Linked DNA regions of Alligator mississippiensis. The protein of the gene in region 3 purifies or fractionates together with the protein of the main gene of each other region. This does not show direct contact. Links are inferred from orthologs where the notes say so. Each region holds a gene or a part of one and is shown on either strand. Other genes may lie near its edges. The genes, in order: LARP1, NCBP3 and SRSF3.

Region 1 (9,694 bases), on a different chromosome or scaffold from region 3:
CGACCGAAATGCAAAGCGGAGCTAGCCTCTTTCCTCCACAGTTTTGACTTTCTTTTCTTAGCATTGCAAAGAGAAACATTCATTGGTTTCTTCTGTGTGCTCTCCTCCACTTTCTTTCCTTGAGTTCCTGTGTGGTTCAATCTAACACAAGTGAGGGCTGTTTTGCTTCAATACAGCCCTCAGTCCTAGAAATGCAGAGGGTAATTTAAATCAGCTCTGAAGCTCAGTCCCAGCTGGAACGTGCCTCAAATGTGCTAGGGCAGGTGCACTCTCGATTCACCTCCAGAGGCCCTGGTAGAAATCCTACCTTCAGCAAAAAACAAAAATGAAGCTGAGACTTCATGCTCCTGCCTCTGGCCCCAGGTATGCGTCTCTCAAAGCCATAGCATGACATGAGACCATTAACTATTTCCACCCAGGCAAGCTCTTGGCCCAGAAATGGCCACGGTGCCACAATTCAGCAGTCAGGTACCAGTCAGGGAGCAGTGTGTCCAGAAGTCTGCACATCTGCTCCATGCCATTAGTCTGTCACTTCATGAGGGCTACTCTGGAGACAGATCATTAGAGCCCCAGTCACTACCCAAGGGCCTACCTACTGCTTTACACTTTGTGCATCAATTAAAATGACCACTTACGGGCTCAGGCCCACTGCAGGTCTGGGGTCTGACAGGGTCAGGGCCTGGCAGCGCTCTGCACTTCCAGTGCAAAGCCCAGTTCCAGGAACGGCTCCTGGCCTACTTGGGGTATTCTGAAAAAAAATATTAAAAAGCTTTTGCTGCGACTTGCCCCATTTCGAGCAGGTGGAAAAAATTCAAAGACCCTGCTGGAGCCCACGCAACACACGCCTAGACGTTTGCTTAGCCCAGAAGCCCGTCTCCCCAAATCCACAAGCTTCTGCTTTAAGCAATCCTCAACCAAAAGTAGTTTGAGAAGTTCTCTCTCAATAGGAGAAGCCTCCAAAGCCCAGCAGGAAGCCCAGGCAGGTCTCAGCTGTGAGTCTGCCTATCCGAGGAGCTTGTGACAACCGTGTTTATTTTACAAACAGTTTTCTCTCTCCTCTTGGTTAAGAGGCAGCAGAAGAAACAATGCCCCAGAGCAAAGGAGCAGGCTAATATTGACAAGGCCGGCATTGTGAGAACTACGGCCACCTCTGCCAAGCTCCAGAAAAAGGCACCGCAACTCAACTGCACTATTTAAACACCTTGGAGAATAATACTGCGACTCTTCGACAGAGCGCAATGGATTCCTTCCGACAAACACCGTCTTCTTCATTTAAAAAAGACAAAAAAAGCCTGGTGTGCCATCTAATACTTAACACAGACTGGATCCTTCCCAAAGTCTACTGTTTTGTTCCTCTGAAGGGTTTCCCCCACTTTGTAACCAGAATATTCCTTGCTGGGTGCTCCTGACAGCCTGAAACATGAAGGCACAAGAAAAGACAGATAGTCAGAGCAGACCTTGGAAATCAGTCCATCCCATTTGTACCGGAAGGATGCTGCCCTGTATTTTTAAAAAAGGTTTAAGACAAATACTGCAGTTCACGAAGGCTGCCCATAGAAAACAACACCGGGAATACACCGAAGAGAGAAGACGACACGACCAACCTGCTTCAGCAGCCGGGATCCAGAATGTTTATACAGCACTTTAAAAACGCTGGCAGTCTTTGGCTCCTCTCTAGGGAATGGAGAGGGCCCAAGAAAGCAGCATGATGAAGCCTCATCGCTGCATGAAGGCGTGATAAAGCCCGCTTCCCATCATCCACCAAGACGTAAACCCAAGACGGCAAAAAAAAAAAAAAAAAATCTCGCTTGGATTTTGTCGAGACAAGTCATTTCCCTATCATCGCCTGGGATCCGGGCGCGCCACAGTCTCCGCATGGATATATATTTTTTGGGCAACGTTAATTTATCTTCTGTATATTATCCCATGCAAACCAAACACCCTTGCACCCAGATACTGCAGAGCTGTCCATCTTCCACGGATCAATAACTATGATGATTCATCATATTAGGTAGTACTAACTTTTTGGGAAAGGGAAAAAAAAAAAAAAAGAAAAAAAAAGGCTAGCACGCTCACTGCTGCTGTCATAGCCGGGAAGGCCATTTCAAGCGTGCAAGGGAAGGCGAAAGAGGCAACAAGCCCCCTCGCCAAGGAGGCCACGATATAAAACTCCCCAGGATTTATTTTCTTAGTTATCGATTCCCTTCATTTTATCAAACAGTTCCCCGAGGGAAGTGATCTCTATGAAAGCAAGCAAGAAAATGGAGGGTTCAGCATTTCCAGCCCTGGCCTACAAGCAGCGGTGGGTGAAAGATGGATGATTGGGGGGGGCATGCCGGCAAACCCCTGCTCTCACACCCCTTCAACCCCCCTCCCGGTTCTTAAAGGAAGGGTGAAGTAACGCTGCAGAGGCGCCATTGCAACACGTGGGATTACAGAGCCGACAGGGATTCCCAGAGGAAGAAGGCACAAGGGAGTGCTGGACCCCCCAAACCAACCTCCCCTGCCTGCCCACCCCCCTACCCCCCAGCCAGGGCTGCCGCCGGCCCCCAGCGCTGGCAAGGGCACGGAAGGGACAGGCTTGCGGCCTGCATGCCAGCGCCGCCAAGGAGGCAGGAATGCAGGGCCCTGCTGCAGCGTGGCCCACGTGGAGGGGGGAGCAGGGCCAGACACACGTGTGGGGCCGCGGCAGGCGGGGAGGGAATCCCCCCTTCCCCTGGGGGCGAGCCAGGGCAGGGCAGGGCGTGGGGGATGGGCAAGGAAGAGCAGACCCTCCCCTCCCCCACTCCCACCCCTTTGGGGCGCGGCTCTCCCCTCCCACCCCCTCCCCCCCGGCTCGGCTTTGTTGGGGGGGGGTACACCCCCGATCCGCACCGGGAGCAGGCCCCACGGTGCAATCGCATGAGGGAAGAAACCACGTTGCCTTCGCGGCGGCGGCATTCTGGGAAGGGAGGAGGGGAAGGGAGGCCGCGGCGCACACGCGGGGCGAGCCAGCGCCGGGCCCCGATCCAGCCTGCGGCCTGGGACGTCGGGGCCCCGGGGCTGGAACGCTGGGACCGGGCCGGAACGCTCGGGGGTCGGATGGAACGCTGGGACCGGGCCGGAACGCTCGGGGGTCGGATGGAACGCTGGGACCGGGCCGGAACGCTCGGGCCCGGATGGAACGTTGGGACACGGGCGGAACGTTGGGACACGGGCGGAACGCTCGGGCCCCGGGCGGAACGCTGCGACCCGCGCGGCGGAAGCCCCGGCCGGGAGGCGGCTCCCGCATGGCCCGGCCGCGCTCCGCCCTCGTGGCTCACCCAGGCCGCGCCGTGCCCGCATGACACGTCGAGTGTCCCCTTCCCCGGGGCCCGCGGGACACACCCGGGAAGCCTCCTCCCTCCCCCCCCCCCCCCGGGGCCCGGCACCCACCTGGCGGGGACTGCCCGTTGACGACGGCCGGGGCGTGCTTGGTCCAGGGGTTCACCTTGGGCGGCGGCGCCTCGATGAAGTCGCGGCGGGTGGCGGCGGCCGGCTCCTCGCCCGGCGGGGCGGCTGCTGCTGCGGCGGCGGCGGCGGGGGGGGGCTCCGTGTCGGCCGGCCCGCCCCGCTCTCTCTCCCGCTCCGGCTGCGGCTCCTCCGGGGGCGGCGGGAGCAGCAAGGCGCCGCCGGGCAGCAGCAGCGCCTCCACCTCCGCGGCCATTGAGGGGCTCCGGCTGCGGCTGCCCCCGGCCCCGATCCCGCTCCGGCTCCGGCTCGGCTGCAAGATGGAGCCGCGCGGGGACCACGCGACTGCCGCGGGAGCGCGCTCCGCTCCCCACCCCCCGGCCCGGGGCCGCGCGCCGGGTGCGGGAAGGACGGACGGACCGACGGGCGGGCGGGAGCGCGCACGTGCCTGATGCAACCCGCGGCGGGGCGGGGACAGGGGAGGGACTGGGCCGGGCCCGGCCAGGAGGCGGCGGCGGCCGGGCCCGGGCCCTAGAGCCGGCCGCGCCTGCCCCTGCCAGCAGCTAGCGCCCCCTGGCGGCTGCCCCGGGGCCCGGCCCCTCCGCGGGGCACCCCCTGGCCGCGGGGGAGAGGAGCCCTGTGCACCTGCTCATCGGGGCTCAGTGCTACAGCTGATTTCTTGCATGGCACCAACAAGCTTTTTTGCAAAAAATAATAAAAAAAACCCCTTTCATTGCAAGCTTTCGGGCACAAATACCCTTCACCTAGTGGCAAGCGCTGCCCTGACCCCAGCGCTGAGATTTCCATTGAAAAACCCAACACGGCTGGAGCTGGGGGGAAAGGGAAATGAGGGCAGAAAGTCCTGCGGGCTTTCATCTCGCCCCCCGCTCTGCCTGTATTGCTGCACAGAGGCAAGGAGCCGCTTTGCTCGGGACAGTTGCGTCCTTGGGATAACATCACAACGCAAGGCAGGCATTAAGAGGCCTGTCCCGGGTGGCGAGACCCGAGGACGAGCGTCCTGCGTCGTCCAACGTTATCCCGGTGACGCGGAGGGCCCCGTCCAGAGATGGCCCAAAGAAATCCTTGCCTCTCGCGCCATTTCTGGACCGTCACGGCTACAACCAGGGCTTACAACCAGCATCGGCTCACCACCAGCGTCTGACGTACCTGGACAGGCATTTCCAACCGGGCTGGATAATTTGACTGTCTGGCACCTGTCGACGGTCACCGAGCCCCTGCCAAATTCACACCGTTTCCATACTCCCGAATGCAGTTCAACGAGAAGGCAAAAACGACCTAAAACAGCAAAAGAGTAAATGATGAAAAGCCCCAAAACATGACTGCGTGCTGTGCTGTGACATTGATACTTTAGAAATAACTCCGATTCTGGAAGGCGTCCTATATCCACGAAAAGGCTCTTGCACTATCACACCTTCTAGATGTACACGGCAATCCTCTACCCCTAGACGGCATTAGCTTTTGTCAAGAAGAACTGAAATTTAACGTCCCGTGGGGGCTGCATCTGTGCAGCGAGTCAAAAGGCTCCCAGGAACACGGGAAACGCGACAAGCTGCAATAATGCACTAGCTCCGGGGTGGTGGCGGCGTGCGGAGAAGAGACGGAAGGGTGGGATTTTATAACTTAGCTGTTAACAAGATAGAGGAACTGAGGGAAAAAGCATGGAACAAGCACGGGAAAGAAGAAACCAATGGGACCTCCTTGGCCCTGAAGGATGAGTGCTGGGCCTAATCCAGAAGGGCAGCAGGTCTAACAGGTCCATGGAGGGTGTTTCGATTGACCCACCAAGGACCCGGCACTGAGAGCATCCTTCCACCAGACCTTAGCAGCACAGGCCGTCCAAAGAGTTGCAGGTAATATGCTCCCACTCCACACATGAGTCCATCGCAGTCTCCCACCTGAGCACAGAACGGGCCAGGACGGTGGTTTTGGGAGCAAGGTCCCAAAACAAACGGGACACGAGGACGTTGCAGGACTTGGGCCTGATGGAAGGGAGAGACGGGCAGTGGTGGCAGCATGCAACTTCCTTGCACTCTTCCTACAAACCGTGACCCCAGTTCAGGGCAGCGTGTGCACCCCCCAAGGCACCCCCGATGGCAGTGCTTCCCAACCTTGTCTGCAGCATGACCCCATTTACGGCCCCATTTCCTCAGCATGGCCCTTCACCCCCAACCCCGTGACCCCATAGTTTCATAGTTGGTAGGGTCGGAAGGGACCTGAGCAGATCATCAAGTCCGACCCTCTACCCTGGGCAGGAAAGAGTGCTGGGGTCATCCGCTGATGTGACCCCATTTGGGGGCGCGACCCAGAGTTTGGGAACCGCTGCCCTACTGGGAAAGAGCAGGCCCTGTCAAAGTCCTCTCTGAGAACCAGACAGGTGACACCTTCATCCGAACACCATCTTCAAGCTGGCTCGCATGTGCAAACCTGACTGCCCAGCTCAAAACCAGCCAGGCCAGCACATCAGTCAGAGTATAGCAGTGAGGAGCACTTGCTGCCCCTTTCCGATGGGGCCGTGCGCCTTCCCCCCCATACCAGCCCACTGACAGCACCTGTAAAACCTGCGTCACATATATGCCACCCCCTGAGCTTGACATGAAGCAGTCAGTCACCTGCATGCTCTACCTGGGTGCCATGCCGCCATGGCCATCTCCAGGGACTGGGGAAGATCAAAATATCTCAGGAGCTAATTCCCAGCAAGATAAAAGAAACAGACTTTGCTGTGATTCTCGCCACCACCTTCAGTCTCCTGTAGGACTTACTGGGCAGGTGTAGGCACAAATGACATAGGATCTGAATATCAAAACCCAGGGGCAAGCAAGGAGTTTCCCGCAGCACTTAAGTCCCTTGCTCTCCGGCCCATGGACGCGTGCACAGACATCCGTGTGACTGCCATGCTCCAACCCGCGCCACACTCCGTGCATGCTGCTGCGTGCAGGAACGCACAGCCGAGCCTGCAATGGCGAGAGGACGGACTTAACGGCCTAACAGGTTTTCTCATTTAACTTCTCCGAGTCAGTAACACCCACGCGGAAGAGTACACAATGCATGCTCAGACTAGCATTTTATTTCAGTCTCTTCCTCATGCAGGGGATGCGCAGAGGACGGGAGATTAATGGCCTGACAGCACCTCGATATTTTACGCTGTCGTCTCCATTGCAGGCTGTGGTTTCCAGGGCGTCGGTTACTCAGCAGTTCTGAACGGCGGCTGATTTTTCGCGTTATGGCCTTCCTACAGCAAGGGCCTTCCAAGCTGAGGGCGTTTCACGAGAGTTTTGCTGCATGCACACCAGGTAACCTGTGTCCAGCGACTGTTTTCAGAGCACCTTTGTGTGTCTAAGTGATTTCCCCCGGGGCTCTGATCATGCCTAGGTGGGTGGCCCCCGCTACAACCTGCTGCTCCCATCTTAGTGGTTGTGCTAGAGCGACGCCTCCAACAAAAGAATTAAATCTACTTTTTTATTCCCCTCCAAAGTAACCTTTAGCAAGGCTTTGTGAGAGCAAGCAGGGTGAGGTGCTGGGGAAAGGGAATGCCTGACGCTGCAGTGCTTGTCGCGGGAAATGGGACAGATGCACTGTCCCATCGTTACTGCTGAACCGCGTGGGACTCACCCAGTAGCCCAGGGCCACGCCGCCTGGCGAGCTAGCAGCACGTCTCCTTTGCCACACCTCTGTGCCGCTAGCACACGGGCAGCACCAGTGTCTGGGACTGCCTTGCTTTAGAGAACATCTGCCAAGTTAACAGAGATTCTCCAGGCCTGCTCGAAGGGTGCATCTGGAACCAAGAACAGCGCTCTCAGACACCATTAGTGTGCGAGCCAATGCAACCTTGATGCCAACATTTGAGACTGCGGGTGAAGAGAAAGGTGGTGAGGACTAAGTGAATCTCCAATTTAAGTATGGAATGACCCCAGTAACCAGGCTGCAGAGGCCAGGAAGCATCCTTGCCTGCCTTTTAAGGCCTCTTTCTCTCCCATCCCTCTCCCTCCTCCCCAGATCCTCTCACTATTCCCCAAGTCACTGAGAGAATTGTGAAGCCCCTGTATGTTGTAGCCTCACAGATGCCAGAGAGACTTCCAGTGTCTATCCCAGGCTTGGGAAGGTGGTAGACCTGCTGTGGATACATACCTGGTGCTGGACGTCCAGAGCGGAGCAGTCAGACAGAACAGAGATCCTGGTGAGATCCTGGAGCTCCCTCACCTGTGCAAACAGCGCTGGGGGGAGGGAAGGGGGACTCACCTGGGCCAGGCTGTGAGCGTGCTAGGCAACAGCCTTCCCAACAGCCTCGAGGCTGAAGGAAGACAGGCCCTTCACAGCAACACAGGCAGCAAATGACACAAACTCCAGTGCATTAAAGAGACAGGCTTGGATGGTGACAACCGACCTCTGCCTTATGCCCCGGGTGGGGTGAGAGGCAGAACGGATGGGATGGTCACGGCATGAGAGAGCTGGGCCCAGGCAGAGAAGTCTGGCTGCAGATCCAGCGTGAGCCTCTCCCGCGGTCTAGGGATGCTCCAACACAGGGACCTGGCTCGCACGCTCTCCAGTTCAAATCAAATCCTTGCGTGCCAAAACCCCCATGACGCCGGCCTGCTCCACCCCTCCCGCAGCGTTCACCCACATTCCCCAAGCAACGTGGGTTGAGCGGGCTGTGATGAAAAGCTTGGAGAAGTGCAGCAGCAAGGGGATGGTTTGAGACCTCAGGCGCCCCCTTTGCACACTGACTAAGGCTCTTGGCTCTTCTGGTCTCCTCTCCAGCACCTCCACTCCCCAAAAGCAAGCGTGCCTGGGGAGGGCTCCGTCCACCTCTCTGCAGGTGAGCTGCCTTCACAGCAGGCGCAGGCAGAGCCAGGGTAAACACGCCAGCAGCTCCTAGCAACCAACACACAGCTCCAGCCCTGCCCCAGCTGTCCTGGGGACTTCCCTTCCCTTCCCAGACCTATTGAAGCCGGAGGGGTCAGTGGTGGAGCCTGACGTGAAGCGGTGGGTGAACAAGCTCAGCCCGGCACGCCTGGAGCCTGGCGGTCCTCAGCATCCTGCAGCCAGAAAGCCCGTGCAGCGGCTAACACACCAGTGCCCCGTGACGGGGGCGGTCAGCCAGGATTCGGGACCTTGCCAGGCTGCGGTTGTTAAGAGACACTGATGACATGAGCCAGGCATTACTTGGACGCAATCCTGCGTGTTAACAGACCGTGGCCTCAACAGCCCGTTTCCCTGAACACAGCAGCAACACACAGCAGGCGGCTGCCTTGATTGCAGCACCCCCCAGTCTGCCTTTCAGCCAGGCCTCTGGCATAAGGAGCTCTGCCTCTGCGTCCTCTTAGGGATACCCTCTGGCTGCCTAGCGACTATTTCCCTCTATGTCTGACACATACAGCTACAGCCAAACCATATCCCCAGCCCTCACGTTTGCACAGAAATCCCTGTCTGCATGACCAGGCCCTTACGCAGCCTCCCGCTGCAGCAGCGATTTCCAGCCACCTTCCACCATTGGAGGTCCTTCATTATTTTGTCCACTGCAACCCAAGGGAGGGTGGCTAGCATCCCTGTCAACTTCAACAAAGACTGCAAGGCCTGTAGGTCGAAGACATGCTTGCTGAGAGCTGAAACCACCTCCAAAATCAGCGCCGATGCTCAAGCAGCACTCACCCTCCACAGGTATGAGGATGAGTGCAAGAAAATCCTCCCAACCCACTGCCACAAATACAGCTCTTGTGTTGCTCTTAGTAGGCTACCTGAAGGAGGATGGTGTCAGCAGTCCTCCCAGTGCCAATCAGGACCACCATCACTGCCCCTGTGGCTAGTCTTAGTACTTTATTACACCACCTGCAGTGCAGGAAATTTTACCTGCTTTTGGCCCGTGCAAGGTGACAGTCCTACCCTCACTCCGTTTCACGGAAGAGCTTGCAATAAGCCCCAGCTAGCACTGTTTCATTACATGGTGTTTAAGAAGTACTATCACTCATGTTAGGTCTTAAAAAAGGGGTTCTTTAAAAGAAAATGAACTGGCTAACGTCACTTGAGATCCCCTTGGCGCCCAATTTAATTCCGATATTCTTATCAGCTGATGACACGGTAACTTAGGCCTTTCCCCTCACTGTTTTTAAAGGGACTGAACTGCGTCTATACAAGGAAATGAACTGCGTCTAACTACAGCCTGCAGCTTGGAAGTGTGTTTGACAATGCCATTAAAAACCCACCCACCACCTTTTCTCCTAGTGTAGGGGAAGCACTAGGGTCCTCCAGC
Region 2 (9,488 bases), about 26 Mb from region 3:
TTAAAGCATCTGCTCAAAGTAATTCCATTTCTTCCAAAAATCGTCTATTCCATCACTTTATGATCATTTAAAAAATTATTTCAAATTAAAACTATATGAAAACTAAAGAAGTGTAAAATACAAGTTACTGTTCTTAGCAAAGCCCTTCTTTGTGCAGCATCTCTTATGGAGTGAGGTAGTATAGCTATTAAAACTAGAGAGTCCACTTTTCAACTCTTTGCTAAAGTCATGGCACTTTCTGTACCTTTCTTCATCATGTCTCGGTCCAATGCCACATTCCTTTGGGCAAGATTCACCTCAGCTCGAAAATGAAAACGCTTTGCTCTTTGCTCTTTTTTCTCAATTGCTTCCTGAAAAATACAAGAGAAATACGCAGTCAGAAAGGAAATGTGTGCATTGTTCTAAACAAGTTCAACAGCAAGATGAGATGCTTATAACACAAATCAAGGAAGTGATACTTGAAGATTTTATTAGTTATCAACAGGCCTTCTTGACTCAAAATACAACACAAAACAGATGCAGAAACAAAAGAATTTAAAGAACAACTGTGGTTCAATTATGGGTGCACAAAGTGATTTATTTTCTTGTGGGTCGAGCAATATAATAAGAATCATGATGCTTTGTCTGCCACTCACTCTGCAACTCTGCAAGTTTTTAAGCTCTATGATAACCATGTTTATCTATCAGCAAAATAGGTACACAAAGCCAAAGTTCATGAAGCCCTCTCTTAAAGCAAAGGTTTCTTCCATCTGGCTACGCTAAACTTCTATTTTAAGATTACTGGTTTGCTTTCATGGAAAAACAGAAACAAGTGAGATGATACAGATCACACAGAGCTCTCAGGCAATTGAAAAAAAATTGGCAACATATGGCTTTTGGGAATATTTTTTATGTTAGCACTTCTCCAATACTAACTGGAGAGCCAACAATAGAAATCTTGTTCTGGCTGGTAATCCAAGCTATTTCTGGGGAGCTCATTAGCATAGTATCTAAGCAGCAGGGATACAAAAGATCTTATACAATCTCTTAAGAGAAACATTAGTTTTCTTTCTTGGGACCGATTCAAATTAATAGGATATTAACAGGACATTTTAAGCAGCTTTCAATGGCATGAACTAAAATACAACTCAGTACGTTAGCAAATGCTTAAGCAAGAATTGCCCTGATTGATATAATTTCAGGATAGATTTGCCTTGAAAATCTCTGAAAACTGATTAAAAAGTCAAACTTTTCTCATTATACAGAATCACCTCTCTTTCCCCACAGTTATTAATGTTGCATATCATTAAGGAATATAACAAAGTAGGAAGATTTTTTTCCTTGATAATTTAACATTAAATGTCTAAATGAACTGCAAGCATCCAACGCAAAGAAGGTAGTGACTAGGAACTAGAAAAGTTTTTCAATCCTAAACACGAACTTCTGGGTTTTCCCACTGCAACACGAGACTATAACTCACGCATCAGCACTGCTGTTGCAGGGGTTCAAATTTTGCAGTGCTCTGAAGATATAAAGGCTTAAATGGTACTGGAGCACTACACAGATAAAAGGTGAAATGATGCATCATATGGAAGTGCCAGTGCTTTAAAATTATGTCACATAGCCAGGAGACCAGCTGCAAGTTTAAGCTGTAAATGGTCCACAAAATAATGCCCTTAGACAGCGCCAGCCAATGGAGCCCAGTATTCCTGCCAAACATTTGCTTTCCCTTGTCACTTGCACAATAAGAAAAATTCAGCTGACTTGATTCAAAGGGCATTGCGATGTGGAGTGGCACCACCGCAATTCCAATAAGAGTCTCCTTGTTTTTTGGCAAATGCAGAGAGCTTTTAGAAACAGTATTAGACATTCTTGGTGGAGTACAAAAGCTTTGCCCACAGCTAAATCTTTCACTATACAACCATAAAAAAAAGATGCCTGACTCAGGGTTTCCACAAAAAGCTTGTCTACTTTCTAGATTCTGTAAATTACAAATGCTGGAGTATAAAAGAGTCATTACAGCATGTGAAAAAGCTCTAGAATCTTATTGTCTTATCTCTGGCTGTTAAAAAGGGACTACGGGCCCCTGAAAGCCACCACCTTAGGAAGCATAGGAAAATGCTTCCTATTCAATTAAGTAATACAAAATTTTAAAAAGGGATCACACTTGACAATATTACCTTGGAGGTGACGTCTATTCCTGTAATGAAACTTCCAGCTTTGTTTTCGTATCTTCTGCTAGTGTCCTACAATAAAGCAAAATTACAACAAATGCTGGATGACGGCTAAACGCAGCAAGCTTGCTAAACTAATAAGATCTGACCTAGTAGTCAGCTCTGAAAGAAAAAACACATCCCTTTTTATTCTCCTGACTCCAAGCTAGTGCGGCATCAACCCACACAGGCACAATTCTCACCAGGGTCAATGGAGTTACAAGCAAACAGAACGGATCAAAAATCATTACACTTTTTTGCAAAGATTCACTCTATTTTAGCATCTTAGATATTTACTTTTAAAATATCTGCATTCACAAGGGTGGAATTCACTCTGCTACAGCAAGGAAGTGGAAGTGATTATGAAACATCTTTTCCGTCTCTAATTTCCATGATTTTTTTCCGCGGCATCTCAAGTACGGTTTCCACCCAATTCCAACCGCTCAAACGGGCTTCATGTAATCCGATTACATTAAAAAGGATACGTTTTCAGTACTTAGTTATCAAAGGGGAAAAAAAGTCATCACAAAGTCAACTTTTGCACTAAAACTAGCATTCATTCTCTTGCCACCGCTGCTTGAACCATGTTCCCCAAAACCTCAGCGTCAGTCACCGCCCCGCTTCTCTTCTGAACAAGCCTATTATGACCAAAGAAACCCATAAATGACACGGTGACCTGGAGGGGAAAAATAAAAAGGACTTTCATTCCTATCGGTTAGTAAAGCAGCATTCACAAAGCGCTGCGCTAACCCAGGGGTGGCAAGCCCTAGGGCATGCGGGCCACGAGGGACAAGGGCCGACCAGGGAGGGAGCAGGGAAGCCAGTGACAGGCAGGGCAGGGAGCAGAGCGCAGAGCCACAGATCAGGCAGCAAGCCCAGGGCAGGGAGCAGAGTGCAGATCAACAGGTAGGGCAGGAAGCAGAGTGCAGAGCAGCGGATCGGGCAGAGAACCCAGGGCAGGGAGCAGAGCAGCTGATTGGGCAGGAAGCCCAGGACAGGAAGCAGACAGCAGAGCAGCGGATCGGGCAGAGAGCAGAGCAGCTGATTGGGCGGGAAGCCCAGGGCAGGGAGCAGAGCGCAGAGCAGCTGATTGGGCAGGGGAAGGGGGTCAGTGACGCAGTGCCTCCCCCCGAGCACCGGCGACCCCGCCCCCCGGTCTCGAGGCGCGGACGAGTCCGCGGTGCCCCGGGAGGGGAGCGCAGCGCAGGCCGGAGCCCCCCGCCCCCCCCGCGGCCCGTACCGGGAGCAGCTCCCGCAGCGAGCGCCGCACGGGGATGGCCTCCAGCTCCCCCTCCTCCACCTCCATGGGCTCGGGCTCCGCGCCGCGCGCCTCCGCCTCCGCCTCCGCCGCCTTCACCGAGATCCGCAGGCCCCGCACGGCCGCCATCGCCCCGCCAGGCCCGCCCTCCGCTCACGGCCAGCGAGGCGCGCCGGCTAGAGCGTCGTCGCCGCCGGCCTCCAGGCACGCCGAGACGGGATTGGCGGACAGAGCGTCCCCCCGCCCCGCCACGAGCATAGAGGCGCGCGCTGTGGGGACAGAGCGTCCCCAGCGTCATAGAGGTCGGGGGATAGAGCGCCTCTGTAGGTCCTCCCGCCTGTGGTGCTCCCTGCGGCGGAGTGCAGGCGGCGCCTCGTTCCCGCCGCTCGGGCCCGTGTCTGCCCCCTCGCACTGACACGACTCAGGGCAGCGAGTCCAGGCTGCGCTCTAGTGTGGGGCGCCAACGCCTCGTTTCTTGGTGCTGCCCATTCCTCGCCGGCACCGAAGGCCGGAGCGGTTGAACCGAAGCACCTGCCGTTTCGAAGCCGAGTCCCGATTCTCGAACGACGATAAATCTCCGAATGTGCTCATCCCTTCCCCCCCCCGTGCGGTTGCGTGCGATGTGTCTTGCTGCATAGCTGGACTTTCCCCAACCTGCGCTAAAACTTCGGGAACTGAACCGAAGCCACGTGAAATCGATAAAACGACTCTCCTTGACTTCGACGGGCGTTCGATCGGGCCCCCGTCCAGACCCAAACCTGCTGAGCTCCCGCGTAGGAGACGCAGGTGCTTGAACACGCTCGAGGCCCCCCCAGTTTGTGCCTTGCACTCACGACCGTGCCGGGGAGCTCGACCTCGCACTCGCGACCATGCTGGGGAGCTCAACCTCGCACTCGCGACCATGCTGGGGGGCTCAACCTCGCACTCATGACCGTTCCGGGGAGCTCGATCTCGCACACACAACCATGCCAGGGAGTTCGACCTCGCACTCGCAACCGTGCTGGGGAGCTCAACTTCGCACTCGCGACCGTGCTGGGGGGCTCAACCTCGCACTCATGACCGTGCCGGGGAGCTCGATCTCTCACACACGACCATGCCAGGGAGTTCGACCTCGCACTCGCAGCCGTGCTGGGGAGCTCAACTTCGCACTCGCGACCATGCTGGGGGGCTCAACCTCGCACTCACGACCGTGCCGGGGAGCTCAATCTCAAACTCACGACCATGCCAGGGAGTTCGACCTTGCACTCACAACCGTGCTGGGGAGCTCAACCTCTCACTCGCAACCATGCTGGGGAGCTCGACCTTGCGTTCACAACCGTGCCGGGGAGCTCGATCTCGCACACACAACCATGCCAGGGAGTTCGACCTTGCACTCACAACCATGCTGGGGAGCTCAACCTCGCACTTGCAACTGTACTGGGGAGCTCGACCTCGCACTCACGACCATGCTGGGGAGCTCGACCTTGCACTCACGACCGTGCTGGGAAGCTCAACCTCACACTTGCAACCGTGCTGGGGAGATTGACCTCATACTCACGACCATGCTGGGGAGCTCGACCTCACACTCATGACCGTGCTGGGAAGCTCAACCTCGCACTTGCAACTGTGCTGGGGAGCTCGACCTCGCACTCACGACTGTGCTGGGGAGCTTGACCTCGCACTCATGACCATGCTGGGAAGCTCAGCCTCTCACTCACGACCGTGCTGGGGAGCTCAACCTTGCACTCGCAACCGTGCTGGGGAGCTCAGCGCTACGTGCTGCTGATTCAATGGTTCGGTCGTGCAGCTGCCGCCGAGATCGAATCGTGTTTTGCTCATGGCCTCAAGACCAGAAGGGTAGGAAAGCTGAGATCTTATTTTCCCTCCTCCTCCGTGAACTTTCACGCGCGTAACATTTCTGTTTCTTCTGACGCCCTGGAGATTTGTTTCTTCGGAAGCCCTTGCTCTTGCTCGTGTTGTGCGTTTTCATGCTTTCCGTGAGAGAGACCCACCGTGTCGGCCGACTGGCATGCGTGGAGTCTTTACAATTTATCCTGTGTGCATCGGGTTTGCAAACACGGCGTTCGTGCTTGCGTGTGGACTCCAGGCAGATTCTGCGTATGTGGTATCAGTACTGAATAAGTGACTGTAGGCCTTTGGAAAGGGAGGCTGCAATTTGTTTTTGTGTAAAGACTCCTGAGAAAGAACAGTTAAAAATATGAAGTCCAGAGCCGCTGGTAGCAAGATAGTTTATTTGACCACAGGAGAGCAGGAAGAAGTTTCTCATGGAGCTCATCAGCTCCATGATCTTCTGGCCTGAAAAGTGGCAGGGGTTCTTTATACCAGGGGCCTGTCTCTCCCTTTTCTGACTGTATTCCTGCTCTGTACATGGTCCGTTATCTCCCTCCGGGGAATTGTTACGCTCACTTCTGTTGTGTACTTGTTGGATGAGAGTCGCTGCTGAGCTCTGAATCACTGCTGTTTTGAGTTTTGATTCAGTTGTTCTTTGGCTTTTGCTTTAAATGAAAGGACCCCTATTTACATAATGGAAAGCTGCTGCATTCCCTGAGCTGGTTACAAGGCAGCGGCGTGACGGCATGCTGCTCCAGCCTGCAGAGTGAATAGAAATAAGCCACATGTTTCTGAACCGTGCCGAAACCTTGGGATCTTTTGCAAACCTCCTACCAGCCCGGGTCTAAACTGTTCCAAATTCACCAGGGTTTTGCAGCCGGGGTTTGGTTTGGATTTAGGGCACCTTTACCAGGAGTAGGCTAAGTCACACCTCTCTCCAACAACTGCCAGATACTTACTAGTATGTCACGTGTGTGTTCATTTGCTGGGGCGTGTTTAAGTGAATTGTTAGTGCATGAAACCTTGCTAAATGGCACTGAGTGGCTTCCCAGAATCTGGGATGTATTTGGTAGCCGTATTGGTGTGAGACAACCGAGTTGATCTAATAAAACTTATCCTTTCTGAACCAAGAGTTTTGCATTCCCAGACTCTGAACATTTTAACGAGGACTAAATTGAAAAAAAATTCTCCCATCTCTGTGTTTGTTACCTTTAAGGGTTTTGTTAAAGGGGAAACTAATAAAAACAACAACTGCTGCAAACCCAAAACTTGTCCTAAGAGGCTTTGACTTGTCTCCCTGCTTTTCTGTGTGCTCATGTGAGGAAGTGCTGGTGCTATAGTTTTTCACCAGAGGGAGCTCTTGCAATAAAATGTCTTTGCTACAGAATGAAAAGTAAAGTGTAATCTAAATGCCCAAAGCCTCAGGTATAGTGTCTGGATTAAGCTAAAAGCAGGGGGCAAAGGGAGCCATGGGGTAACAAAAGGAGTTTGAATGCACTTGATGGAAGGAGTCTTTTGGTAATGATCTGAATTGAGTTTCAGAGGTGAACAGTTTGGCTCTTGTGGCACAGAACATAAAGCTCCCGTGACTCCGTGACCAGAACAGGGACGTGTTAGTCACTGCAAGGCTGCTTTGTCGTCCTGCCTGGTCCTGATGACTCAGTGCAGGACCCTGGCATGGCTGCCCTTCAAATGCAGTGAATTGCACCAAGAATGAGCGCGGCTGCCGCTCAGACAGGCGTTTCTGCACTGGGAGGACAAACCAAAATGAAGTGGGCTGAAGGGTTTGGGAGCAGATATGGATCAGCTGCTACCTGGGCTGTACTCGTCCCACCCAAAGTAAGGCAACCTCTCTCAAAACTGAAAGAATGGCCGGCTCTCAGGAGGAAGGATGGTCTAGTGGGTAGGGACTTAGGCCACAAGAGAAGGCCCCGCTCTGTGACAGACTACTCATACCCACGCTACTCGGTACACCTGAGACAGTGAGCCTCAGCAGTGCAAGCTCATGGGTGGCTCTGTTTCCTCTTGGGAGTCGGTGCTGCGGCATGGGAGTGAGGACATGTGGCGTGGGTCACAGCAGTGCTCCTGGGTATGGCATTGGAGTAATATCCAAATGCCCTTGACCTCTCCACGTCTCATTTTCCACTGTGAAATGGGGATAAGAGCACTCCCCTACCTTCCATGGACGTTGTGATGGCGAGTATATTAAAGATTCAGCAATAGGGCAGCAGAAGTGCCTACAAGAGGTAGATGGATTTTTGGTTGTAGCCATGTTGGTCTAAGGACATAGGCAGGCAAGGTCCTTTGGGTAGATGTGATATCTTTTATTAGACCAGCTGAACAGCTGGGAAAAAAAGTTAGATTTACCTGTGACATGGCAAGAATTTGCATGTCAGCCTGTCCACGCAAACTTAACTTTCCAAGTTCGAGAGATGGAGACAGAAAGAGAGAGCTGAGGGAGAAATTAGATTAGACTGGCTACTCACTACTGCAGCTGTCTGTCACATTCAGGGGCGTCTGTGTCTAGGAAGATTTGTTGACCGCTGGTATGCAAAGGCAGCACATTTTTTATATATGCATTCCCTTATGGAAACTCCTCATAGAATTTATCAGAGCTAGAACAGAATCCTTTAGAAATGTAACACAGGTATCTAGAAATGCTTCTGGAAACCTCAGGAAATATCATAGGGCTCAACACGGTTTTTGACCCATGCCACAGAATTTTAAGGAAGGGCTAGGAGTCTTCCTTAAATTCGAGAAAGCTGAGAACTGTCTATTCAGCTCTATGGGACACTTCCCAAGGGTTTGTGGGGCTGCCCTGTCCATATTAGTTATAAATGCTTTAATTTTATGCCCTGGTCACTGAAGAGATGTCAGTTAGTGAAATGAATTGGAGAGGGAGAGGCCTGTTCACCACTGCCTCTTCTTTAGTCTTGGACATGGGAGAGGCAATGCTGAGAACCAGTGAAAAGCAAAAGCAAACACCCCACACTTCATACAACCAGGAGAGGAGGCCCCATACAGCAACTTGGCTTCCACACTGTGCTTCTGGACCTTGCCTGGGATCAAGGCCATGTCAACAGTTTTAAATCATGGCCTCTAGGCTTGACTCTCCCCAGGTTGGGGACAGGCTTTACTCTGGGGCTGGTCCTGGTGCTGCATGGGCTGGGTGCACAGCACCTTGTGAAATCTGCTGCTGGGTGTGATTCCCTGCAAAGTTCTTGGCCTCTGATCTGCTTCCCTTGAAGTCACCAGCCAAACTCCTCCAGGCTTCAAAGCAGATCAGCTCCTCTGCAGCGAGGATGGAACTTGCCTCAGGTCTCTGGGACCTGGCGACAGGGGAGTTCAGGCATACTTTGAAGCCTCAATCTCCACAGCGGTCACTGCAAGGAAAATGAAACTCCTTCTACTTGGAGGAACGTGTGATTTTTAATTTGAAAAGCAGGGTGCTTACTGTAACCAGTCGTGCTTACAGCTGCCATCCTCACACACACACACACACACACACACACACACAGGCGCATGCTTATAGAAAGGCACAGCCCCGATTTATGCGGGGTCCCACTCTTAGTTACCCACCAATATGTCCACACTGGAGTCACTGGCAACATTGCAGCTTATGTAATGTAATGACACTCAAGCTAACTTCAAATGAACTAGGTCAGGGATTGGGAGCAGTATAACTGTGGCAGCCCAGGGCTCAGCCCAGGCTCCAAAACCTATGGCAGAAGCTGAGGTTGATAGCCCTTGCTGGGGCGTTTATACACATGCAGCAGAGAGGCACTTCAATTAGCGCAGCTCCCAAGAGCTGTACTAATTACAAGTGCCTGAAGCGTCACATGTATCAGCGTCCTCACACTGAAAAATGGTGGCAGGGGGTGCTTGGAACTAAAACTGGTTGTTCAACATTTTCATTAATGATGTGGACATTGGAGTCAGAAGCGGACTGGCCAAGTTTGCCGATGATACCAAACTTTGGGGGAGTCACACCTGAGGACAGGCGGGTGATCCAGGCTGACCTTGACAGGCTCAGGAAATGGGCAGATGAGAACCTGATGGTGTTTAACACTGAAAAATGCAAGGTTCTCCACCTTGGGAAGAAAAACCTGCAACATCCTTATAAGCTCGGCAGTGCTACGCTGGCTAGCACTACGGATGAAAGGGACTTGGGGGTCATGATTGACCACAAGATGAACATGAGCCTGCAA
Region 3 (9,631 bases):
ATCACATGCATATACACTGCCTTTTTACTTTTTGCTCTATTTTAAGATGTAAAGTTTCCTTATCACCCTTAAAAGTTTTTCAAGCAACATATGTACGTTACCACTCAATTATGCACAGCCAGCCTTTGATTGAGAAAAGTAATTACTTATAAGCCGCTTACTCCTTATTTTAACCAGCAGTAAACTGTATAAGCAGGAAAAACTTACTAGTTTTTGGTTTCAACAAGCTAGAAATGGTGAGGTGAGGCTGCCGGACTGACTGCCAAGAAGAATTTGCTGAAAAGGTTTTGCCAGATGTTGCGTTGTATTTAGTTGGTTGGCGAAGGGGGTGTTGTGGATTTTTCCTGCTTTTTTGTTAGCCGAAGGCTGCTGCTGTAGTTGTTGTGAAGACATTTGGTAAATAAACAGCTGAGCTGATTGGCCGGGAATGTGTGGGCGGTCGAGGTGGCTGCTGCCGATTTGGTTAAGGTTGGAGAGAAGGCTGAGAGAAAACAGCATGCTCGGGAACCAAAGGGCGGTGCAACCTGACGACTGGCCATGCCTGGGTCATGTGAAACGACACCAGCCAAGCTGAATGGGGCGCGCTGGTCACATGACGCTGAAAGGGCTAGTTGACTGGCTAATGCAGACTCAGAGGGTGGTGAGAAGAGACATGATGGTGACTCTGTAACGGGTTCATTTTTATTAATAGATGGACCAAAAAGCATAAAAAAAATGAAAAACAAGCCATCAGTACAACCATCTATTAGCTAACAAATACTCCTATTGTGTTATTTTTTTTTTTTAAAAAAAAAGAACAGCAAAAGGGATAAGCTTGAAACCTTGCCTTGTGAGGACTTCACTCACCTGCAATAGGTAATTCAGTCCTGTAAAAACCATGCTGTAGGTTTGATGGAAGTGCACAGTTAACATCCAGACAAGCTAGCCTGGATCCAAGAATGTGCCCTACTTTAGAACTGGGTTCACAAAACAAGTGACAGATTCGCCACATTTATGTTCTAACGCTTCAGTTAGAAATTTAAGTTATATTTAAAATGATTGTTGTACATTTAAAGTAGGCTTACTTTATGAATAAAGTTGCCTACTTGGCAAGTATTTAAATTGTGCAAAACAAAATGGAGAATACATTAGCCTGGAAAAGCCTAGGTTGCTGTATGTAATGTTTGCCATTATGGAGTAAAGGAAAGGACATAGCCTAAGTTGAAGTAAGGGCAAGAAAGGGAAAGTGTGACTAGAAGATGAATAGATCTTAGGACGAAAGAGGATAAATCCAGGAGAGAGGGCGCTGACTATCAACTTGCACAGTGACCTAAGGACAAAAGCCAACATTCAACACAACTTGTATTCACCTCTTTTTAGAGTGTTTGGAATCTCCAAATTAAGAGCAGATGTATGTTTCCCATCAACATGCTTTAAAAAAAAGCCTGCTTCTATGATGCTAAGTGGTAACAATGCCAACAACTCTCTATGTATGTACTCTGACCCAGTGTACCTGCGGCGAGGAGGAGGACTTCTTCTGCGATAATCATCTCGAGGGCGCCTACCCCATGAAGGAGGCGGACCACGGTTCCGACTCCGTTTTTCACCATTGGACAGCTCCACCCTGACGCGGCACCCACACAGCGTTCTGAAATAAACATCAGTACTTATAAAAGCTTATAGGAACAAGTTTGTCTACACACAAAAAAAGCGAATAAGATTACAAACTCATCTGAATGTCTTATTTACATGATGAATATTTGAAAGTCAGACAGCTGTAGCAGTCTGAAGTTAGAAGGTAGAGTGGCACCTTATTGACTAACTTGTTCTGAGGGATCTGTGCTTCTATAGGCAACAACTTACAAGATTATGCTCCTGAACAAATCAGTCTTTAAAGGTGCCATCTCCCCCTACCTTCACTTGAAAGCTGGGTATACTCTATGCACATCAAGTCTGAGCTAGCTGAAATCAAGGTACTGCCATTTAGGAATATTTCCAAAACTGTGCTGTTAACAGTTAAGAGAAATAAAATACTGTTTTACAGACTTTTTAATACTTCAAGATTCAGCTGCATACTAGCTCTGTAGCACACACTATGTAATGAGCTGTTCTTAAAGACATTTTAAGATTAGATCCCTGTTGCAAGGATCACAGAAACACAACTTAGTGTTTTAAAGTATCCAAAGCTTATTTTCCCCAAACTGAAAGTTCCCTTTACTCAAATTAGCAGTTAGGTATCAGTTTCATGTCAGATGTGCAAACTGCAAGAAGCTACCTATAGAACAGGATCAATTAAAATATGCACCATCAAAGTTAAGCTCTTATGTTATAAAGCTGTTTAATTACAAGATTTCTGCATCCCTAATTGTCTGGTTGCTTTTACCAATACAGGATGTTGAACACAAACTCAGATTTTTAGTTTTAAGTGACCTGCGTTAAGATATTTTTACCTTCCATCTAGCTCTCTTACTGCATCAGCTGCATCTCGTGGATCTTCAAATTCCACAAAAGCGAAGCCGGGAGGGTTTCTAGCCACCCACACGCTCCGCAGTGGCCCATAGTAGCCAAAAGCTCGCTCCAATTCAGTTTTGTTGCCATTGTTGCCAAGGTTACCAACATAAACCTTGCAGTCCAGCGGACACGAGTCTCGATGCATCACTACAACAAAAACATTTCAGGTCAGATATCGTTTCTTTCTCCTTGCAGCTATAAAAGTGCAACCGTTACACGCTTGTGGGCAGGAAGGACAACACGACATGATCTTAGGCAAAAGGATGAGGCTCCCCTAGCTTGCAATTCATGAGAAAACTGTGAGCGGGTCCTACTCTACCTACAGGCCTGTTAAGTGGGCTCCTACCTCATCCCACTCGCAGCCTTGAAAACACAAAGCATTTTTACACACGCAAGCACCAGTGCTCGGAGCTGTGAAAAGCACTCAGTGGTGTGACGCCCGCAGTCATACAAGTGGAAAAATGCATGTCAGCGCTGAGAAAACGGCAGCGGCACTTTTGAACTGAAACACATTGGAGGAGCCTTAGTTCAAAAGTGCATCCCTGCTGCTTTCTGTGCACTGACGTCCATTTCGCACATGCCGCTGTTTGCCGTGTACAGCAGACTCGATTAATCGAGCATCCTCTGAAGTGATGAATCTCTGGTGCATGGGGGAGGAGGGCAGTAAAGTAGTCAGCGCATAAATGCCTGCTAGGTCCCATCTGGAAATGCTCCATTGTCTTCACTGGGAAGCGCAGTGAGCAGGAAAGCCAGATGCCCACCTTCTCCCAGGAATTCACACAGGAGTAAGGGAAGGGGCTTAGCAGAGAGGGGGAGGGGCTCCAGTCCTTCCCAGGAAGGGAGCTCAAGCTGCCCACCCCAGCCAGCGCTGCGCATGCGCACACGCCCACGCTGGAGTGCAAGGGCGGCGCCAGTAGGGGGCATAGGCTCCACTCGTGCGCATGCGCGGACGCCTCCATTGTTCCCGCGCGCCGAGGGGGGAGGGGCAGGACGGCGCCATCCTCGGCGGGAGCAGCGCCCGCCAGGCCCGCAGGCCGAGACGGCCTCCAGCCGGGCTGCGCCGCCGCGAAACACCCGCCCTCCGCGCTCTTTTTCCCACGGCCCGGCCGGGCCCCGCCGCCCGCACAAAATGGCGGCGGGCCTTTGTCTGCCGCCGGGCCCGGCGCCTGCGTCCGCCCCGCCTGGGCGGGAGCCCCGAGGAGGGCCTCACCGATTCCGGGGGAGAGCGCGAGAGGGGATCGCGCGCGCGCTGCTACTTCTTCGCCGCCGCCTCGATCCCGCGCGGGCCCGCACTCCCCTCGTCCTCCCTGGACAAAATGGCGGCCGCCGCCTGCCCCGCCCGCACTTATATCGCTTCGGCCCCGCCCCACGTGACGCCGCGGCGCTCCAATCACGGCGCGCGCTTCGAGTGACGGACGGCTCCGTGGAACCCGCCCAGCCGGGCCCTTCCCCCCACCCGGGCCTGCACCATCCTCCTGCCCCTGCACCGCGCGCGTGGCGGGGCGGGCACCTCGCGGGGCAGGAGCAGGAGCAGGAGCTGCCGCAGTGCTGCCACGAGGGACAGCGTCACTGCATCCAGAAACTGGGCACAGGCCTCCTTGACCCAAGCAAACAGGGCAACTAAAACAGCCCAGTCAATCGGGAGCGAGTTTTGATGTTTTGGAGGGGCTGCTCCAACTTGTCGTGGAGCCTGATTTGGCCTGAAATGAACTTTTCCACCCGGAAAAACGTATGCGGCTGTTTGGCTACGACGCTCGGTCTAAACCGGCATCCGATTCCGCTTGGCGGGCGTCCTTATAACCCACGAGAGTTGCTGTGTCGGGTCGTCGAAAACGTTCGCGGTCGCCGTCTCGGGTCGGTCTCGCTCAACGCTGGGTTTCTCCAGAAACGATTAAGAGCAGCGCTACGCCGGGGGTCGCCTGGACCACCCTCCGCCGCTCCTGCGCAAGATGAAGTTTCATTTCTACCTGCAAGCAACGTTACAATCTTGAAAGCTTGCAAATAAAGCCTATTTTTTTTTGCAACCATTTAGTTGGTCTCATAAAAAGAGACCACTGACTTTAGACCAACATGGCTCCACCTTTATCTCTGAACCACGGTGTTCAGCTTTTTCCCCCTTCTACCCCCCACCTAAGATTTAGAAATGTACATTTTAAGTTAAATTGGAGGTGCTGATTGATATAACCCTGGGCCTTCAGAAGCTTACAGAACACCACAAATACTGAGGGAAAATCACAAGAGGAGGGAACTAATTGAATCTCAAATCCTTTGGTAGGGTAGAGATTGTAAAACATCTTGCCCTCAAAGCAGAAAAGAGAGAGTGAGGGAGAAAAAGAAGAGAAATCCTAGCCTACGGCCTACTCTGCCCTGTGGAAAGACCTGCAACATCTGTGGATGGCTCTGTGATGCAAGGACTGGACTCTTAAGTCCTCTTAAGACCCACCAGTGAACCGTAATAGAGATCACCCTCAAATTGGGGGTTTGTCAATGACCTTTGGTAGGCTGTATTATTTCCTTTGCTTTACTACTGGGGCAACTGAGACAGGGAGAGGTGCAGTGATGTATGCAGATCCTTTAGGCCGGGGTGGGCAAAATGCAGCCCGCGGGCCATTCTATCCGGCTTGCGGGGCCCCTAAAAATTTAGAAAATGAATATTTATCTGCCCCTGGCTGCCTGCCATGTGGCCCTCAATGGCTTGCCAAAACTCAGTAAGCGGCCCGCCACCTGATATAACTGCCTGCCCCCGCTTTAGCCCAAGAAAATGTGCCACAGAAAAATGACACTGTGCTCGGCAATGTGAATAGAAGCAGCAGTGACGTGGTCCCAAGCCTCAGTGACATAGTCCCGATCCTTACACAGCTCAACTACCTAGGGCAGCGGTTCCCAATCTGTGTTATGGGTACCACCAGTGGTACACAGACAACCTGTCAGTGGTACTTGTTAACAGATTTATTATAATTACTTTACATGACAAAAATTTACTTAAGGTTGAACTGAAAAATTTGCTGGTGGTACTTGAGGTTGTATTGTTTTAAATTGACGGTGCGTAATCTGTCAGAGTTTGGGACCCGATGACCCAGGGTGTATAGGAAATCTCCCATCCAAACGTAGATCCTACTTAGTTTTTATGAGCTAATGAGAGCCCAATCTGTAATAAAGACTGATTATACAGGTCAGGTGATGATCAGAATCACCTCATGTTCTAAAGCACTGATTCTCATCTGGGGTGCTGTGAAATCCTTTTAAGGGTGCCACAGGGTGCCACCCAATATTAACACTGTTAGGTATGCAAACACCTACACACGATTCATTAAATAAACCCTAAAAATTACAAATAGGAATGCATAGTTCAAAAACATTCTGACCTGTTTTGGTCTTTCTGAGTTCTTTGCAACAGAAGAATTGCTGTATTATTTTTATTTTTTAAAAAAAAGGTGGAGGGTTGCCACGAGTTTAAAAAGATTGAAAACCCCTGTTCTAAAGGTTTCTCAAAGGAGGGGGAAATACCACTTGATCCAGGTAGAAGCCTCATGGTCTACACTAATTAGATATTTCTGTCTAATTTATTGTATACTGCACTCTTTTGAATGCTCACAGGCAGCTATTCTGGATTTCCATGTTCCAAGCCAATTCAGCCAAATCAAGTCCAAATTCATGAGTCAGTCCAGAACTATAAGTGGCCCCACAATCGGCAAACATCCTGCACCCCCACTAGGGGCTTCAGATATTTCCAATGTCTTTGGCAGGCATCCTACGTGCAGGGCTAAACCCAGAAGCTTGGGGTTCGGATGCCCCCAGGTTTTGCTTGCCCTCAGCCATATGGCCGCAGGAGCACGCTAGGGAGGAACCTCCCATTTCCATAAAATGGGCATTAAGCCCCAACGCCTTGGTGGGTACTAAACCATGCCAGAAGAACAGTTATCTCCCAGGGGCTTAAGGAAAACTGCTTTCTTGGACCCAGATACAGGGCAGCTATTCTGGATCAATAAGCTGAATATAAGCCAACAGTGTGCCCTTGTTGCTAAGAAGGCTAATGGCATCCTGGGCTGCATTAGTAGGAGCATAGCTACAGATCAAGGGAAGTGATTATTCCTCTCTATTGGGCACTGGGGAGGCCACATCTGGAGTACTGTGTCCAGTTTTGGGCCCCCCACTACAGAAAGGGTGTGGACAATTTGGAGAGTCCAGTGGAGGGCAAAGAAAATGATTAATGGGCTGGTGCACATGACTTACGAGGAGAGGCTGAGGGAACTGAATTTATTTAGTCCGGAGAAGAGAAGATTGAGAGGGGATTTAATAGGGGATTGGACTACCTGATGGTTGATGATTGCAAAGAGGATGACACCAGTCTGTTCTCAGTGGTGGCAGATGACAGAACAAGGAGCAATGGTCTCAAGTTGCAGCAAGAGAAGTTTAGGTTGGATATTAGGAAAAACTTTCTCACTAGGAGGGTAGCAAAGCCCTGGAACCAGTTACCCAGAGAGGAGGTGGAATCTCCATCCTTGGAGGTTTTTAAAACCTGGCTAGACAAAGCCTTGTCTGGGATGATCTAGTTGGGGCTGGTCCTGCTTTGAGCAGGGGCTTGGACTAGATGTGACCTCCTGAGATCCCTCCCAACCCTTATTTTCTATGATTCTATGATCTGGTGCGGGGTGAGATTTAGTGGCCCAGTCATAGGCCTGGGATTCAGGGAGTCACACTCATACAAAGTAATACCATCTGCAGCTTGGGATTGTTTACTTGGTCCCTAATTTTCAGAAGTACTGAGCATCTAGAAATCTTATTATACTGGAGTCGCAAGTGCTCAGCATCTCTGATAATCTGGTGTCAAAAGGAAGATTATAATATTCCTTTAGCCTGATTTACCACTTCTCTACTTCAATTTTAGACCAAGGGAAATTAGTCTGTTAAGGAAAAGAAGAAGGGAAGGGTTCTTTTTGGGACATTACAATAGGATTTGGAGTTAGGTTTTCAGGCCCCAGGATTTAATTATTCACAGGACCCAGACATTATTTTAGTGTCCTCCCCATCATAATAATTGTATGAGATTATTTCCTTATTGCTTTTCTGGACCATACAACTATCCCCTTGCTAGCCCAGGTAGGAAAGAGATATCACAGAGTAACTGTAAAAAAATCAAAAAACATGGTACAGCAACAAATCTGGCCATTGCCTTTTACACCCACTGCTAAAATAATCTTAGTTTAATTGTTATCAAAACAGTGCCCGTACTGTCTCTGTGTATGAGATGTATATGGGGCTGCTGGTTGTAGGTGTGTTGCTCTAAGGACATAGGTAGACAAGGTTCTTTGGGTAGACGTGATCTCTTTTATTAAACCAAGTAAATAGTTAAAAAAATTGCTCTTTGCAAGCTTTCAGGCACAAACCTTCTACCCAGGAGAGCACACAAAACACTACCAGTCTCTCCCTATGCTGGAAGAAGGGTGCTTGTGCCTGAAAGCTTGCAAAGAGCAATTTTTCAAACTATTTACTTGGTCTAATAAAAGAGCTCACGTCTACCCAAAGAACCTTGTCTGAGATGTGTGTGGGGTGATATAAGTAACTCACAGCCCAAATTGTGGTATCCTCATACAAAAAATTTAGTACTTGGGTTATGCGGTTGGGTGTGGTGGTGTGAGATTCTTTATAGCCTTAGGGCTTACTGTGAGGTACCTCTGATCTCTCAGTCAGGATGGGGAGGGGAAAGTGGGGGAATGGAAAGCAGCAAAGCAAAGCATTAGCAGTTGCTTCACAATCAACAAAGGGAAATGGACTCTATTTTACCACCCATGTGTGGTCAAACAGTTTCCTCCCGACAGGGCGGGTGTTTTCTGTCTCTCTTGCTCTTCTTTTTTCTATATGCACTCACTGTAGGTTCAAGTGCAGAAGTTAAAATCATTTCGTCATCAGTCTTCAAAAATATGTACAAAACCCCCATGAACCCAATGGGATTCCTTCCACAGACATGCCAAGAGAAATTTCCCCCAGATGCCAAGAGAAATTGTATCCTCCCTGAAATAACATTTTAAGGAATCCTTTCTCCTATTAACCCATCTCCTCTCCCTCCTTCTGATAAAACTTGTGAGGCTTGATATTTATTTCCATCAAGGTCAAGTCCAGACTCTGACAGATCAGGGAGGAGAAAAGAGAGTGGAAGAAGCAGAAAATGGAAGTTGGAAGAACTGTGATGAATTTGCCTTAAGTAGCAAGACACAGGCAGGCTTCAGGATTTGTAAGATAGGAAGCATGGTCTAGTAGATAGAATATTAGCTCTACATAGGGGTGTACCTGAGTGCACCTAACCGGTGGGTCTAGGCCCTATGTGTTTAATGAATTTGATGAAGAGAAAGCAAAAGTTTAACAAGTGCTAGTTTAATATTGATAAGAATTGATGCTGTTCTAGAAATATGTGACTCGTATCTGAAGTCCATGTTTCTCATTGCAGGACCAAGGGCTAGACTTGCTGTCTTAGGTACTCATGCAGTGCTCATCACCATGGTATCTGAGCATCTCACAACCTTTAACATACTGAAGCAGATAATGCTTGATGTTAAAGGACTCTATGGTTTCTTTCCTATTTGCCCAAGTCTGATATTGACCCTTTCACTAACCTATCTTGACTAGGCTTAACATGAAATGCAATGTTACTTTTTTGGAGAATTTCCACTTCATTTTCCTCTGCTCAATAGCATTCTCATTGCCTTTTGATTCCCCGTTCCATAACATTCAAACACATGCATGTTTTGAACCTTGGTGTACTAAGGTCCAACAGGAGCAGAAGTCCAAGATAGAAAGAAAACCTTAAAACTGAAACAAAATTTAACGAACAAGAAATCATGGCACTCATAACCCATTTGCAAACCATCAGCTGTTTACTCCTTGCAGGTCCTGTTCTTTCCTTCTGACTTATCTATTTATACCACAGGGAAAAAGCAATCTTTTATTCAATGGGCCTGATGCCATCAGTGCTTACACATGTGCTTACTTTTCATACCATGAGTAGTCTTATGGTCCCCTCCAGAGCACATTTGAGTTTTTTGTCCACTCCAGTTTTAAAAGTCCTAAATGATGAGGCTTCTATTGCTTCTCTAAGGAGGCTATTTACATCTTTTCTCATATCATTCCTCTACAAACCTTTCCC

Evidence for each region.
Region 1: the proteins of SRSF3 (region 3) and LARP1 purify together in Homo sapiens (co-immunoprecipitation; 3 studies listed by BioGRID and IntAct, with this or other methods). This does not show direct contact. The link is inferred for Alligator mississippiensis from reciprocal best matches to the Homo sapiens genes SRSF3 and LARP1.
Region 2: the proteins of SRSF3 (region 3) and NCBP3 purify together in Homo sapiens (co-immunoprecipitation; 3 studies listed by BioGRID and IntAct, with this or other methods). This does not show direct contact. The link is inferred for Alligator mississippiensis from reciprocal best matches to the Homo sapiens genes SRSF3 and NCBP3.

The regions. Positions count from the first base shown.
Region 1 is NC_081832.1:76,975,025-76,984,718, reverse strand, and holds the start of LARP1 (la-related protein 1), read right to left. Parts: upstream 3,887-9,694; 5' UTR 3,686-3,886; coding exon 3,415-3,685; intron 1-3,414. UniProt on the Homo sapiens protein: RNA-binding protein that regulates the translation of specific target mRNA species downstream of the mTORC1 complex, in function of growth signals and nutrient availability.
Region 2 is NC_081837.1:9,609,461-9,618,948, reverse strand, and holds the start of NCBP3 (nuclear cap-binding protein subunit 3), read right to left. Parts: upstream 3,607-9,488; 5' UTR 3,580-3,606; coding exon 3,433-3,579; intron 2,226-3,432; coding exon 2,160-2,225; intron 351-2,159; coding exon 245-350; intron 1-244. UniProt on the Homo sapiens protein: Associates with NCBP1/CBP80 to form an alternative cap-binding complex (CBC) which plays a key role in mRNA export. NCBP3 serves as adapter protein linking the capped RNAs (m7GpppG-capped RNA) to NCBP1/CBP80.
Region 3 is NC_081837.1:35,605,520-35,615,150, reverse strand, and holds the start of SRSF3 (serine/arginine-rich splicing factor 3), read right to left. Parts: upstream 3,803-9,631; 5' UTR 3,701-3,802; intron 2,638-3,700; 5' UTR 2,636-2,637; coding exon 2,430-2,635; intron 1,628-2,429; coding exon 1,493-1,627; intron 1-1,492. UniProt on the Homo sapiens protein: Splicing factor, which binds the consensus motif 5'-C[ACU][AU]C[ACU][AC]C-3' within pre-mRNA and promotes specific exons inclusion during alternative splicing.